2 linked regions of the Caenorhabditis elegans genome follow. The protein of the gene in region 1 purifies or fractionates together with the protein of each later gene. This does not show direct contact. Each region holds a gene or a part of one and is shown in the gene's direction. Other genes may lie near its edges.

Region 1 (7,589 bases):
TTTGAAAAATGATATTTTCATATCGAGTTTTTTCAAAATCAGTTTGGTTTTGTTGGATATTGTTCAAAACGCATTTTGCCCAAAAAATAAATATTGAAACTTTACAAACATTATTTGTAGCCCCGTTCCATGCCTATTCCTATTTTCCGTTAAAAGCCAAAAATACAAATAAAAATGAAAAATCTGTTTTTCGAACAATGGTATTTTGGTCTCATCACACTTTTGACTCTTCTCAATTATGCTTCGAAATAGGAACGAATTCAAATTTAACTAATGGCACTTGGGGTGCATCTTCTTTTGAAACAGAAAACTGACCTTTCACCCAAATGAAAATTACATGAGCTTGTGAAGATGACACAGGTCAGTAAAAAGAAAAAAGTGCGTGGGTATTTCTTTCTCCATAATTCTTGAAATTTCATTGGAGATATTTTGAAGAGGTGGGCTCATCTAAACATTAAGCTTAAGATTTTTGAAATATTTGAAAGACCCAAAATAACTTACACAATCTTTTCAACAAAAAAAACTGTCATGAATTTTTATTTCTGAAAAGTCTCCAACATTGTCGACAAAGGAATTGATTTTTAATGTCTTCAAATAATTTAGAAGCCGACAAATCAAAACTGTTGATGCCCTTCGCTCATCTCTGATTTATCATCGTATTTCTCAATTTCCCGCGAAGTTCGAATTTAGACATGTTCCAAGGTCTCCGAAACTTTTCACCCCAGAACATCATACAAATATTTTATACAAGCTTGAAAAAATGTTACTAAGAAATTTTATCTCCAGCAACCTAACATATAGTTACTAGAAACATTGTTGGCTGCCAAGTTCTGAGAAACACTACAATTTTTAAAGTTTTTCCGAAAACTTTTTTAAATCTTTAAGTAACTTATCCATTCTCTCAGTTCTTGAAATATGTTAGTGACAAGTTTTAAATATTTTTCCCAAGCCTATCTTGCAAAACTCCTGAATTAGAATCATTATTCAAAGCCATGGGAAAATCAAGAATGCAACCACCACCGCAAATGCTCGATGTGAGCTTTCCCCAAAATTTGCATCCTCTACAACACTTCTTTTTCACCTGCCCTCCGAAAGAGCACCTCTTCTCTTCTTTTTTTTGCTCTGACGACGACATCTAACAAAAAATCAATTTTTTTTCGTTTTTCCAAGCGGTCCTTTCGTGTAGTCGACCCATTCGTATTATCATTCGATGCTTTTTCACTTCTTATTTTTCGTCGCTTTTGAATTGCATATAGCGTGTTTATCGCAACGAAAAACAGACAAAAAAGAAAGCAAATATGCAAAAACAAAAAAATACGAAGCCAATAAAAAATATCTATCTTCAATTGGAATTCGAATTTTCAATTCAAATTCAAACCTACTAAAACCTACTATTTTCCATAATTATAGATTCTCAAAGGTCTCCAAAGGAATGAGCCAAGAACAAAAAGTTGAGGAGAATACTGCACATTTCCCTTTCTATAACTTTTTCAAGATCTACTAAGATTTTTGACCCTTGGGATCCTCAAAGTTTTCAAAAAGTAATCCTGCTCTTCTCTAAATGACGTTTTTTTTTTTGTTTTCATCTGTTCAAAAAACCCCTTAACTAGTCGTCATTCTTGCCCTTGAATAATAGGATAATATGATTAATCTAATGTCATAATAATCTCCTCTTCGTCTCCCATATTTTTTCCCATACAAGGATTTCATTTTTACATCCGTGTTTCTCGTATCAGAATGTATTCTTCTTCTGGAAAAGTAAACAGACTCCTACATCTCTCGCCTCTTTCTGAAAAATTCTAATTATTTCGCTTCTGTAAACACATTTTCATCCGGGGTTTGCCTATTTTCCCATTCGACCCCCGACTCCGCCTCTTCATTCTCTCACGGAACCCTTTTCTTCGACGCTTTGCATCTTGATTTACCTCTGATTTCATTTATCAATCAAACTTTCAGTCACCATGGTGAAATTAGACTTTTCGTCGCAAGACGAAGAGAACGACGAAGACTTGACAAAAGAGTTTGTAAGGGATGAAGCACCAATGGAAGAAACAACATCGGAAGCAGTAAAGCAAATGTAAGTAGAAAAAGAAAAGAGCCATAATCTTTTAGAGATTGTATCTTTCTTTCCTAGACACACTCAGAAAATGAAAACTTTTGAGTTTCCAGTTCAAAGAACTAACAAAACCTGCGACAAATATTATGGAAAATGCCAAAAATTTGAAACCCCAAAAATATTAATTAATTAAATATTAAAAAATATTAATATCAGAAAACCTGAATTCTATATTTTTTGAAACAAACTAAAAATCGAGTAAAAAGGGGCAGCACTAATAAGAGAGGTACAGCCAGTAGAATCGACTAATCTAAATTCGCCTCTAACTTAAAGTTTTGAAATTTACTGGAAAAATTGTTCGGCACCCGGTGTCCCTTCAAGCTCAACTTATAAAAAAAATAAGCTTGATTTTAAATTAATTGTCAAATCTTTGCTGAGGCCGTTCTAAGCATTGCCCAATTTCGGTACACCTTTTAGCAATGTTTCGGCAAATCATTCTCAGGAATTACCAACTGGTTATATTTTTTATGTTGATCGTTCAAATTTTATGATGATTCAAATATTTTTTGGCTTCACTGCGACATTATTTATCTTCATATAAATTTTAAACGATTATTTTAATCTGCTAAGGGGAAGAAAACAGAAGAAAAGAAAAAACGACAAACCATAAAAGAAACGAGAAAAATCATATAAAATATGAAATCTGTGGGCGCTCATAAACATGCGATGTGATGTCATGATCGATTCATGAAGGAACAAATGTTGTTCATTTTCGATTGATTTATTGCATTCTGTGAATTTTTAAACAAAAATAAAATAATTTCAGAGCAACAACGACAAAGGAGACGCTGAAAGATGTGGTTGTAAATAAAGTGATTGATGTGAAAGACGTTGTGAAAGAAAAGGTTATGCAACAAACTGGGAGTGAGTCATTAATTATTGGTTGGAGAAAAATTGAAAGAAATAAACCTGAAGTTACCAAAACCCCTTAATCTTTTTATTTACTGAATAATCAATACAACTGTAATTGATTTTTGGTTCTCAATTTCGTTTTGAATTTTCGAAATATTTTGAATATTCCCAAACTCTTGAATCTCAACAAAATTTCATTGAAACAGAAAACCACAACATTGCTATATTACTATGATTGTGATTAAGCTTTTTTCGATGATCTTTTATATATTTTTTACCAGAAACTTTGAATTCTTGTAGACAGAAATATAGAATTTATAACAACCGGTGTCATTTTTCAAGCTGACGTCATTGGTCTAATATAATAGTACCGTTTTCATTAAAATTCCTGGAAATTTTCATACAAAGTGTTCATGTATACTCTTTCTCAAATTTTCTCATTGTCTTTCGGGGATCTAAAATCGTTTTTTTTTCTTCCAAAAAAACTGGATGCTCCATCCGTTTCACAGCTTCAGGCTGTGTCGATTGTAATTTGATATTTGGCTACCACGACAGCCTTTCTCTCTTTTTCCTTCTATTCCTCCCCATGCGCTGAATATTTTAGATTTTTTACTTTTCGAGTATTGAAAAGAAGAGAAAGTAGTAACCAGAATTGACGTGTATAGAAAGATGGCCCCAGAAAAGAAGAGCATGTGCCAAAAAAGTGGTAGATGTCCCTAGGGAGAGACGAAAAATTAGTAGAAAAAGAGAGATAGAGAAGTAAAAGCATGAAGAACAATAACACATTCATCACTGGACACTAAAAAAGTAGTTCGTTTATGAGTTGGCGGCTCCAATGCTCCAATGGACAACAAATACTGGTGACGAAAATAATTAGGATAGGGAAAAGAGATATTCTTTGGGGAATAAATATTATAGAGATATGCAAAAAATAAATAAATACATACATCTATTAATAACTTATAGATTTCAATTAAATAGTAAACAAAAACAAAAAAAAAGTATAGAGAAAAAAAACAGCTGAAAGTGAATTTAATATTAAAGTAAAGTTGGTTTATTTTCTATTTTTCTCTCAACTTTTTCATATCCCTTTTTACGAGAATTTCAGTGCCTGAATGGGCGTTCGTATTTCTTGGATTCGTATTTATTCTGCTGGTTCTCGCGTGTGCATTCTGTCTCATTCGGAAGTTATTTGGAAAAAAGCGGCATGGTGAGAAGAACAAAAAGGGTGGATTGAAAGGATTCTTTGGTAAAGGACAGGATGTCGTTGATGGAAAAAATATTCAAGGGGTATGTTTTTGAAATGAAAAATAATGATGAAAAACAAGGAAGGAAATATAATAAGTTACGGAATACCGTATTCGAGCGACTTTGCGAAACCAAACATGTAAACTTGGTTATGATAATCTAGAGCTCCCATGTATGCATGGAGGTGCAAGAGTATAATAGGCACGTAGGTAGGCAGGCAATTTTTTGCAAGTGACTCCAGGCATGCAAATGTCTTATTTCTGGATTTCTTCCTTGGATTTCTTGGTATTGTTCTAATTTTTAGTTTTTGATTCTTAGGAAAATTTTATCAAGAATTTTACAAAAAAAAATTCCCGACTTTTTTGAAAACAAAAATCCTTGATCTAACTCATTTCCTAGAGTTAAACCTAAAACATTTTACTTGGATTTTTTTGAAAAACTTTTTATCGGGATTTTGAACCTACGAATTTTTGAATCTCGTTTATTGCTAAAACATTTTTTTAGCCAACCTTGCTGAACTCTTCCTAATTTTATAGCCCCTCGAGGTAACTAATTGTAAAAGTTGAAAACATAAATAACGATTGTCTCGGTTTTTGAAATAAGTAGTACAAAGTTTTGATTTCTCTTAAGATTGGAATACAAATAAATTACTAACTGTCGTTCTAACTGGAGTTCAATGAAACAAATTATTGTTCTAATAATTGTTTTTGAGAGCATGCATATTTTTAAAATAGCGATCAGAATCTCTTGGGGAATATGTCAGAATCAGTAATAGAATTTCCAAACGATGACGACAGAATTTTCATCAAAATAGATTAAACATCAGTGTTGTCTAGTTTGATTTTGATAATTGTATAATTAATTTCAGATGGCTCAAGACTTGGAAGAACTTGGTGATGCGATGGAACAAAATGAAAAAGAACAAGCTGAAGAAAAAGAAGAAGTGAAACTTGGAAGGATACAATATAAACTTGATTATGATTTCCAACAAGGTCAACTAACTGTAACTGTAATTCAAGCAGAAGATTTACCAGGAATGGACATGTCAGGAACATCAGATCCATATGTAAAATTGTATTTGTTACCGGAGAAAAAGAAGAAGGTTGAGACGAAAGTACATCGAAAAACTCTTAATCCAGTATTCAATGAGACATTCATTTTTAAAGTCGCTTTCAACGAAATTACGGCAAAAACTCTTGTCTTTGCAATTTATGATTTCGATCGGTTCAGTAAGCACGATCAAATCGGACAAGTTCTCATTCCGCTTGGAAAAATTGATTTGGGAGCTGTTATCGAAGAATGGAAGGATATTGCACCACCACCAGATGACAAAGAAGCTGTAAGTTTTGTTTTTTTTAAATGTTAATTGAATTATCAAAAAGTAATTGAGAAATAGAAGCACCGTCTATGTAGAAACGAATCAGTTCAGTTGAAAATCTACTTCCAAAGTACACTATTTCAAATATTTATAAATACAACAATATAAATTTGAGAGCTATAACACCTATTATCCTTCCAGACGTAAAAAAATTTACAATGCGATTCTTTCTGACCTCACATTCTTTAATAGCGAATTCGAAATACTTTAATCATTTTTTTGACAACCCAAAAACCAAAAACAAATTCTAAAAATTCAGGAGAAGAGTCTTGGTGACATTTGCTTCTCACTTCGGTACGTCCCAACTGCTGGTAAATTGACAGTGGTCATTCTGGAAGCAAAAAATCTTAAGAAAATGGACGTCGGTGGTTTATCAGGTAACTTTTTTTTAATTAAAAAAATTATTGATCCTAATTCTAACAAAAATCTAAACTTTAAAATTATAAGATCCATATGTGAAATTGGAAATGTTCGGAGAAGATAGAAAACGATTGAAAAAGAAGAAAACGAATATCAAACGGAAAACTTTGAATCCATATTTTAATGAGAGTTTTGTATTTGACAAATTGCCATTGCATAAAATGAAGGTGATCTGGGAATTCATAAATTTGCGCTGAAACTAAACTATTCTATATCCCCAAATATTGCTGGCTTTAACCTTTCTAACTAAATCTAACATTTCATTTTCTGGGGTAATTTTCAGATCCTTATGTGAAGATTGTGTTGATGCAAGGTGGAAAACGACTGAAAAAGAAGAAGACATCAATCAAAAAGTGTACACTTAACCCATATTATAACGAATCGTTCAGCTTTGAAGTGCCTTTCGAACAAATTCAGGTGGCTTTTTCTAACATGTCTTTCTAACTTTTTCATTCAACTTCGAGACGATTTTTGAATATTTATTTTTTTTTAATATTTGCAGAAAGTTTCCCTTATGATCACTGTGATGGATTATGATAAACTTGGATCCAATGACGCTATTGGAAGGTGTCTATTGGGATGTAATGGAACCGGTGCCGAGCTGAGGTTTGCTTTTGTTTTTTTTTTTTAATAATTTTTTAAATGAAAGTCTAAAAATTCTTGCAAGTGACCACAGAAATATGGGTTTATTTTTAAAAGTGTTAACTGGTGACATATACATTTTGATAATTGGAAGTTCTAAGAAGTTTGGTTTATTTTTTTCAATTTTTCATAAATCTAATGTGATACCGAGACCATAAACAATGTTGCGAAATTCCTTTATCAACCTAAACAAAAGTATTCCAACTATTTCCAGGCATTGGATGGATATGTTGGCTTCACCACGTCGTCCAATTGCTCAATGGCATACACTTGGACCAGTTGAAGAAGAAGGTGATAAGAAAGATGATAAGAAATAAATGTATGACTTTATCATTTTTTTTAAATTTAAATGCCTTATTCAATCTAAATTTTTCACTTTTTTTTAATTCAAAGAGATATTATTTTTCCTGCTTGTCCTTTTTCGTTCAAAGTTTCAATTTCCCGATGTACATAGGATCTAGTCGCTGTGAAAATCCATGCATCAAATATTTTTATTTTATTTTTTTATAATGCAATGTGTAGAAATGAGTAGCAATTGTCAGTGCCAAGGCGGTGATTTAAATATTAATCTCTCTTTGTTTTCACTCTTCCAACATGTTCCTTATATACTCGAATTCAGAGTTTCTCCTTTTCTTAATTTATTTAACTTTTCCAATTTATTTATTCGTTAGATGTCTATTTTTTGGAAATTTGTGTTTTTTTCTGTCAATCTTGCTGACATAATTAAATTGCATCGTTTACACATTTTTCTTTTTGGTAAATAAATAACTTCTAAAACTGATTTTATAAAAAATATTTGATGTTTTGTTTCAAAACTATTTGATGTGCTGCAGATTGGAAATATGTATTAAATTTATTGCTGAATACATTTTTCTAACAAAAATTACTGAAGTTTGATTTGAAGTTTATCTGTTTAAGTCTACAGAAACCAAA
Region 2 (5,060 bases), on another chromosome or scaffold:
TCTTTCAGGCTAAAGATTAAGTAGAAGATTAGAACATATCAGCTTTTGATTATATGACACACTTTTTAGACCAAAAAAGTTACATTCTGTTAGAGGACATACCGCTTGAGTTTGACTATTTACGCAAAGTGAACATTTGTATGGCGAAATGAAGTTAAGAAAGCATTGTTCTTGAAAAGTGTAACTTAGGTCACTGTTTCAAAAAATTACCGACCTAGGTTCCAATAACATGCTACATCAACAGATATCAATACATTTGATTCTTTTAAAATGCCAACAGCTAATTCAAATTTCGAAACAGAACATTGATATTATATATTAGATCGTATTTCATTTTAACGAATCCTTACCTACTGAAAAATGCGTATTCGATGATTTTCCATTATAGCTTTTGTAAATTTACTACTGATATTTTTGATCAAGTGGGATACAACTGCTAAAGTCAACCAAGGGTCTCACGCTTACCGTACTTCTCTATTACACGAAAAAGTTATAGATAATTTTTTCAAAAGATTTTTCAAGTCTGCAAATTCTGATCTTTATTTTGTTCAATTTGTGAATATTCTTTCCCGTCAAAATCAGATTGAGAAAAAAAGGAAAAATTCAGTTAATTCGCAATTTCTCCTTCCCTTTCAGGCCTCTCGCTTTTCCTCCCGTCGTATCTATAATTGAATGTGCTAGTACTACCAATCGGTGTAGTTTTCGAAGAATGGATTCTACTTTTATGGATTTAGAAAACAATATTATTTGCACCATTTTAATAAATAGTCATGCAATTGGGGGCTTACAATTAGAGAATAGACTCGTGAAATATTAAAAAATCACTTATCTCATACATAAGCACTCAAAAGAAAAAGTAGAAGAAGAGTCTTGACATTCAAAATCGTCTCCACTTTCATTTTATTTTCCATATTTTCTTTCCAAACCCTTCCATTCTTTTTTAGGCATGACTCTTCGTATTTTATATGCATAGAAAGCCTAGGAGTAATAGCGGAAAAGGAGAGACAGGGCAGATTGATGGGTAGATTTCATGGGTTAGGCACCTTTTTGAAGATGGAAGAAACGAATGGAATGGATAATCTGAAAATCAATATATTCTTAGATTCAGTATTTCGTGTTTCGGCTGAAACCCAAACTACCGGTCCAAATATCCAAAATATCAAGTTTCCACTTGTTGACACACAAATTTTTCGTTTCTTCCGTTTCTTCTTGTCTTTTGCAAAACCTTTTTTGACTAAATGACGTAGTATATTGCCAAAATCTAAGTGAAAAAATAACCTTTCATAGTCTGTTTTGAAACAAAACTAAAATTGAGCCAATAGATTCAATGCCTAATCAATTTTTAATGAGGTGCATAGTGCAAGAAAAATAATAATATATGTATATACAGAAACAACCAATTTTTCTCTTATCTCAACTAAAAAAGTAGATAAATCTTTCTTTTATTTCAATATCTATACAAATATACCATACTTCCAATCTTGTTGCTAAAATTTGTTTTGCACTTATTAAGCCGAACAGTGTCTGACGAATCTTGTTTTATGACTCTCTAGTTAATGAATGTTTTGTGCATGTTTTGTCAAAAAACCCACAGGTACCATTAGATCACTTAAGGGAATACAAAAATGCCTTCAGTAATTTAATTCTATCAATTTTTTGAAATCCCTAACTTATCGAGAAAACTTGAAAATTTTTTTTTAACATAAGACATGGTCCCATACCGTTCCTGATTTTTCCCAAATTTTAAATAACCTAGACAGGCTCCAATTCTTTCATTTCTTGTCTATTTATTCATTAATCACAATGTCCCTATATTTTTAAGATTAGATGTCTTGGAGAGACCGTGATTTTGATCCACACGGTGGCCGAAATGCTTTCCGATTAACTGATGAATCGAAACAGTCATCTTCAGAACGAGCAGCTTCAATGAGAGCAATGCGTTCATTTACTCAATCAATTGAAGATGAAGGTCCACCAGAATTACCAGCTTCACTTGACATCGATATGATTGAAGGAGTCAGTATGAAAACATCTGATACAAATGACACAATCATTGAAGTTAAGCCTGGAAAGGTGGATCCTCAACTTGGAGAGACCCAGAAATATAAAATGGCAGTACCTGGTCCCGGGCACTCTGAACAAGAACAAGAACTTCACAAAAGTTTGATAAGGGACGAAGAAGAAGATGCAGAAGTTGAACAAGTATTTGCAGCATCTGCAGAACCAGTTGTGACACCTCCAAAAAGTTTGAACTTCGCTGAAACAGCTGAAGAACTTCGGCACGCGTATGATCAGAAAATTCGAAAAAGGCCTACAACTCCAACATCTGCGTGTGTTTTAGATGGAATCGCATTCTTTGCTGGAAGTGTTGATGGTTCTAATGATACAATTCCAACAGATGCAGAGAAAAAGATTAAAGTGTCGATTCCAAGTGGTCGAAGGAGAAAAACAGAGAATATGTCATATTCAGAATTTTACGAGTCGATGGCAAATCAGATACCCGGAGGTGGTGGTCGAAGGATGAGTCAATCTGGAAGAACAACTCCCCTTCATGACTATGAAGGAGATATTCTTGATGAAAATCCACAATACAAGGATAAAGTAAGTAATTAATTATTATTTTAAAAAACCGAATACAAAAAGAGTCTAGAGCAGATATGGACGGCAATTAGAATTTTCGACAATCCAGCAATTCTTCAATCGCCAAAAATTCCATTGCCGCCCAAACATGGCACAATTATTAAAAACTGCTTAAATTTGATTGTAAATTTTTTCGAAACTTGAAAAAGCTATTTATAAGTTTTTCAAAATTTAAAATTAGCCAATTCTGCTTCATGAATTGTCTGCTGTGCTCATTTTTCGGACACAGCTTATCAAGTTTATAAATATTTTGACATCAAATTCTTACTATCGTTCACATCTGAAAAGTTAAAAATGTCAAAATTATTTCCAAATCAAAAAATACTTGTTTATTCAGGCTCCTCCTGCTCCGGTTGTTCATCGAAGGTCAAGTATCGAATGGGAAAATTTCGCCGACATGGAAGGTACGTATAAATTTACTGCACAAAAAAATCCCGAAATGTATGAATATCGTCAGAATACATAGTTAAACGAACCGAAAAGAAAAAAGATTGTCAGAAAGAATCGTAATGGGAAAAAAGATGGGGAGCGGATATTGAGAAATGACGTTGAGATATTAAGAATTGAATGGAGCAATAGCTGAAGGGTGGAGCAAAATGGGACAACTAGACAAACATATCTAGATTCCGTAATTGTCTGTCACCATGCTTTGGAACCCTCAATTAGACATCACTTTCTCATTCAAATATCCTCAACGACTTCATCTCAACTTCTGCTGCAGCTCCCTGTTCCTTCAACGAAAAATACTTGCTCCCATTTGCTAATCCCCTGTCCTCCCTTGTCTTTCACCCTGCTTTGCATATTTTCTCCTTCACTTCCCATGCTCTCTCACGTCGTCAGAAGCACGTAAAAACTGAATTGATCATAGAAGGGGTCGAGCAAAGAGAGAAAAGGGAAGAGGAGTGCGGAACTCTTCACTTCTTTTCTCTCCGCTTCTTCATTTTTCACACTTTCTTTACCTCATCTGAAACGGAAGATGTGCCACTTCTACTGCTGAGCCTGCGTCGAGAGAAGGGGAAGCCATCGGTGAATTGAAACAGCAGCGATTTGGGAGAAAGAGTTGAGAGAGAGAGTTGGAACCAGTTTTCATTGTCCTCTTTTATTTTTACTTTTTCATATTTTCTACTACTGCTTTAAGTTTATTTAATTTGAAATCTAGATATCTGCAACAGAGCGTACACATGGAAAAACTTTCTCCAGCACTGGAGCAGGTAGTTTGATAGAACATTTTATTTCAGCTGTTCCATTGTGTAGAATTCAAAATTTATTTTACTTGCAACTGGTTTCTGTTCAAAAAAAAATCAGTGTTAAGCCATATTATTTGAAACGGCCACAGTCTTTCCAATACTTTTTGTAGGGTCAACTGTAATGGTTAAAGATTAAAAAAAACAAATTACAACCTTTTCAAGTTGTTACAAAAATATTATCCACAAATAGCAGTTTTAATGCCATTTATATACAAGTTAAACTTACCGTAGTTTCTCTATTAGTCTTGCACCTCTACGGACCAATCGAAAATTAGTCTTACAGCCTCTATTAGTATTGCACTCTATAATAGTCTTGCACTCTTTTTTTTCTAGATCAGCAATTTTTTTGTAACTTCAAAAAATTCGTCATTGTTTGGCTGAATTAAACTTAAAAGAGTTCAAACAATTGATAAAATAATGGGCAAGTATTTACTTTGCATGGTTTAGACTGTTTCTAGTCAAGTTTTTTGACGAGAAATTGCAAATTTTACAGAGCTTTTGGATCTTCGAAAATTAGTCTTGCAGCCTCTATTAGTCTCGCACCTCTAGGGATCGATTGAAAACTAGTCTTGCATGCAAGACTAATAGAGGAAATACGGTATAAGTATAATAACTACTTTTCAAAATATGATTCTGTGAAAATTTATTAATGTGTTCACTATTCCCCCTATTAACGAAGCACCTGCCTATTCTATTTCGTAAAGCTCATCTCTTGGTTAATTTTAATTATTTCGGATACTTTTCAACTGAAAAAATGTAAATATTTTGTCTATTGATAATTTTTTTGATAAACCCAAAGACAAAATCAACAATCTTGATTTTTCAAAATTTTTATAGATGAGAAGCAGATTTTTCCAAAATATAAAAGGTATATCTATTTTTGTTTTACTGCTCCCTCAAAAAATACTCTAAATATCAAGAAGACAAATCGTGCTCATTACAAATCAAGACTCCCTCTGTCTCCTTCCCCTCTTGCCAAAAATAATTATCATGCTCATTGAGCAGAACCCTCTGTCCTCAACGACTCATTTTTCCTTTCTATTTTCGATATTGTAGTATTTACATGACATAAGAAATCTTTGATGTGTATTGACTTCTGAAACTCAAATAATTTTGTATCTTGTATCTATTTAGCCGCTTAAATGATGTCATCATTTGTAACCTGGTGACGGG

What was found.
Region 2: the proteins of snt-1 (region 1) and unc-41 purify together in Caenorhabditis elegans (affinity purification with western blotting, with the first as the bait; one study listed by BioGRID). This does not show direct contact.

Annotation. Positions count from the first base shown.
Region 1 is NC_003280.10:6,809,007-6,816,595, forward strand, and holds snt-1 (C2 domain-containing protein), read left to right. Parts: upstream 1-1,961; coding exon 1,962-2,077; intron 2,078-2,882; coding exon 2,883-2,980; intron 2,981-4,076; coding exon 4,077-4,258; intron 4,259-5,084; coding exon 5,085-5,555; intron 5,556-5,853; coding exon 5,854-5,971; intron 5,972-6,041; coding exon 6,042-6,181; intron 6,182-6,297; coding exon of another isoform or gene 6,298-6,431; intron 6,432-6,516; coding exon 6,517-6,620; intron 6,621-6,870; coding exon 6,871-6,973; downstream 6,974-7,589. UniProt on the Caenorhabditis elegans protein: May have a regulatory role in the membrane interactions during trafficking of synaptic vesicles at the active zone of the synapse. It binds acidic phospholipids with a specificity that requires the presence of both an acidic head group and a diacyl backbone.
Region 2 is NC_003283.11:9,972,994-9,978,053, reverse strand, and holds the start of unc-41 (Putative stoned B-like protein), read left to right. Parts: upstream 1-1,815; 5' UTR 1,816-1,827; coding exon 1,828-2,601; intron 2,602-2,977; coding exon 2,978-3,044; intron 3,045-5,060. UniProt on the Caenorhabditis elegans protein: Potential adapter protein, which may be involved in endocytic vesicle recycling of synaptic vesicles.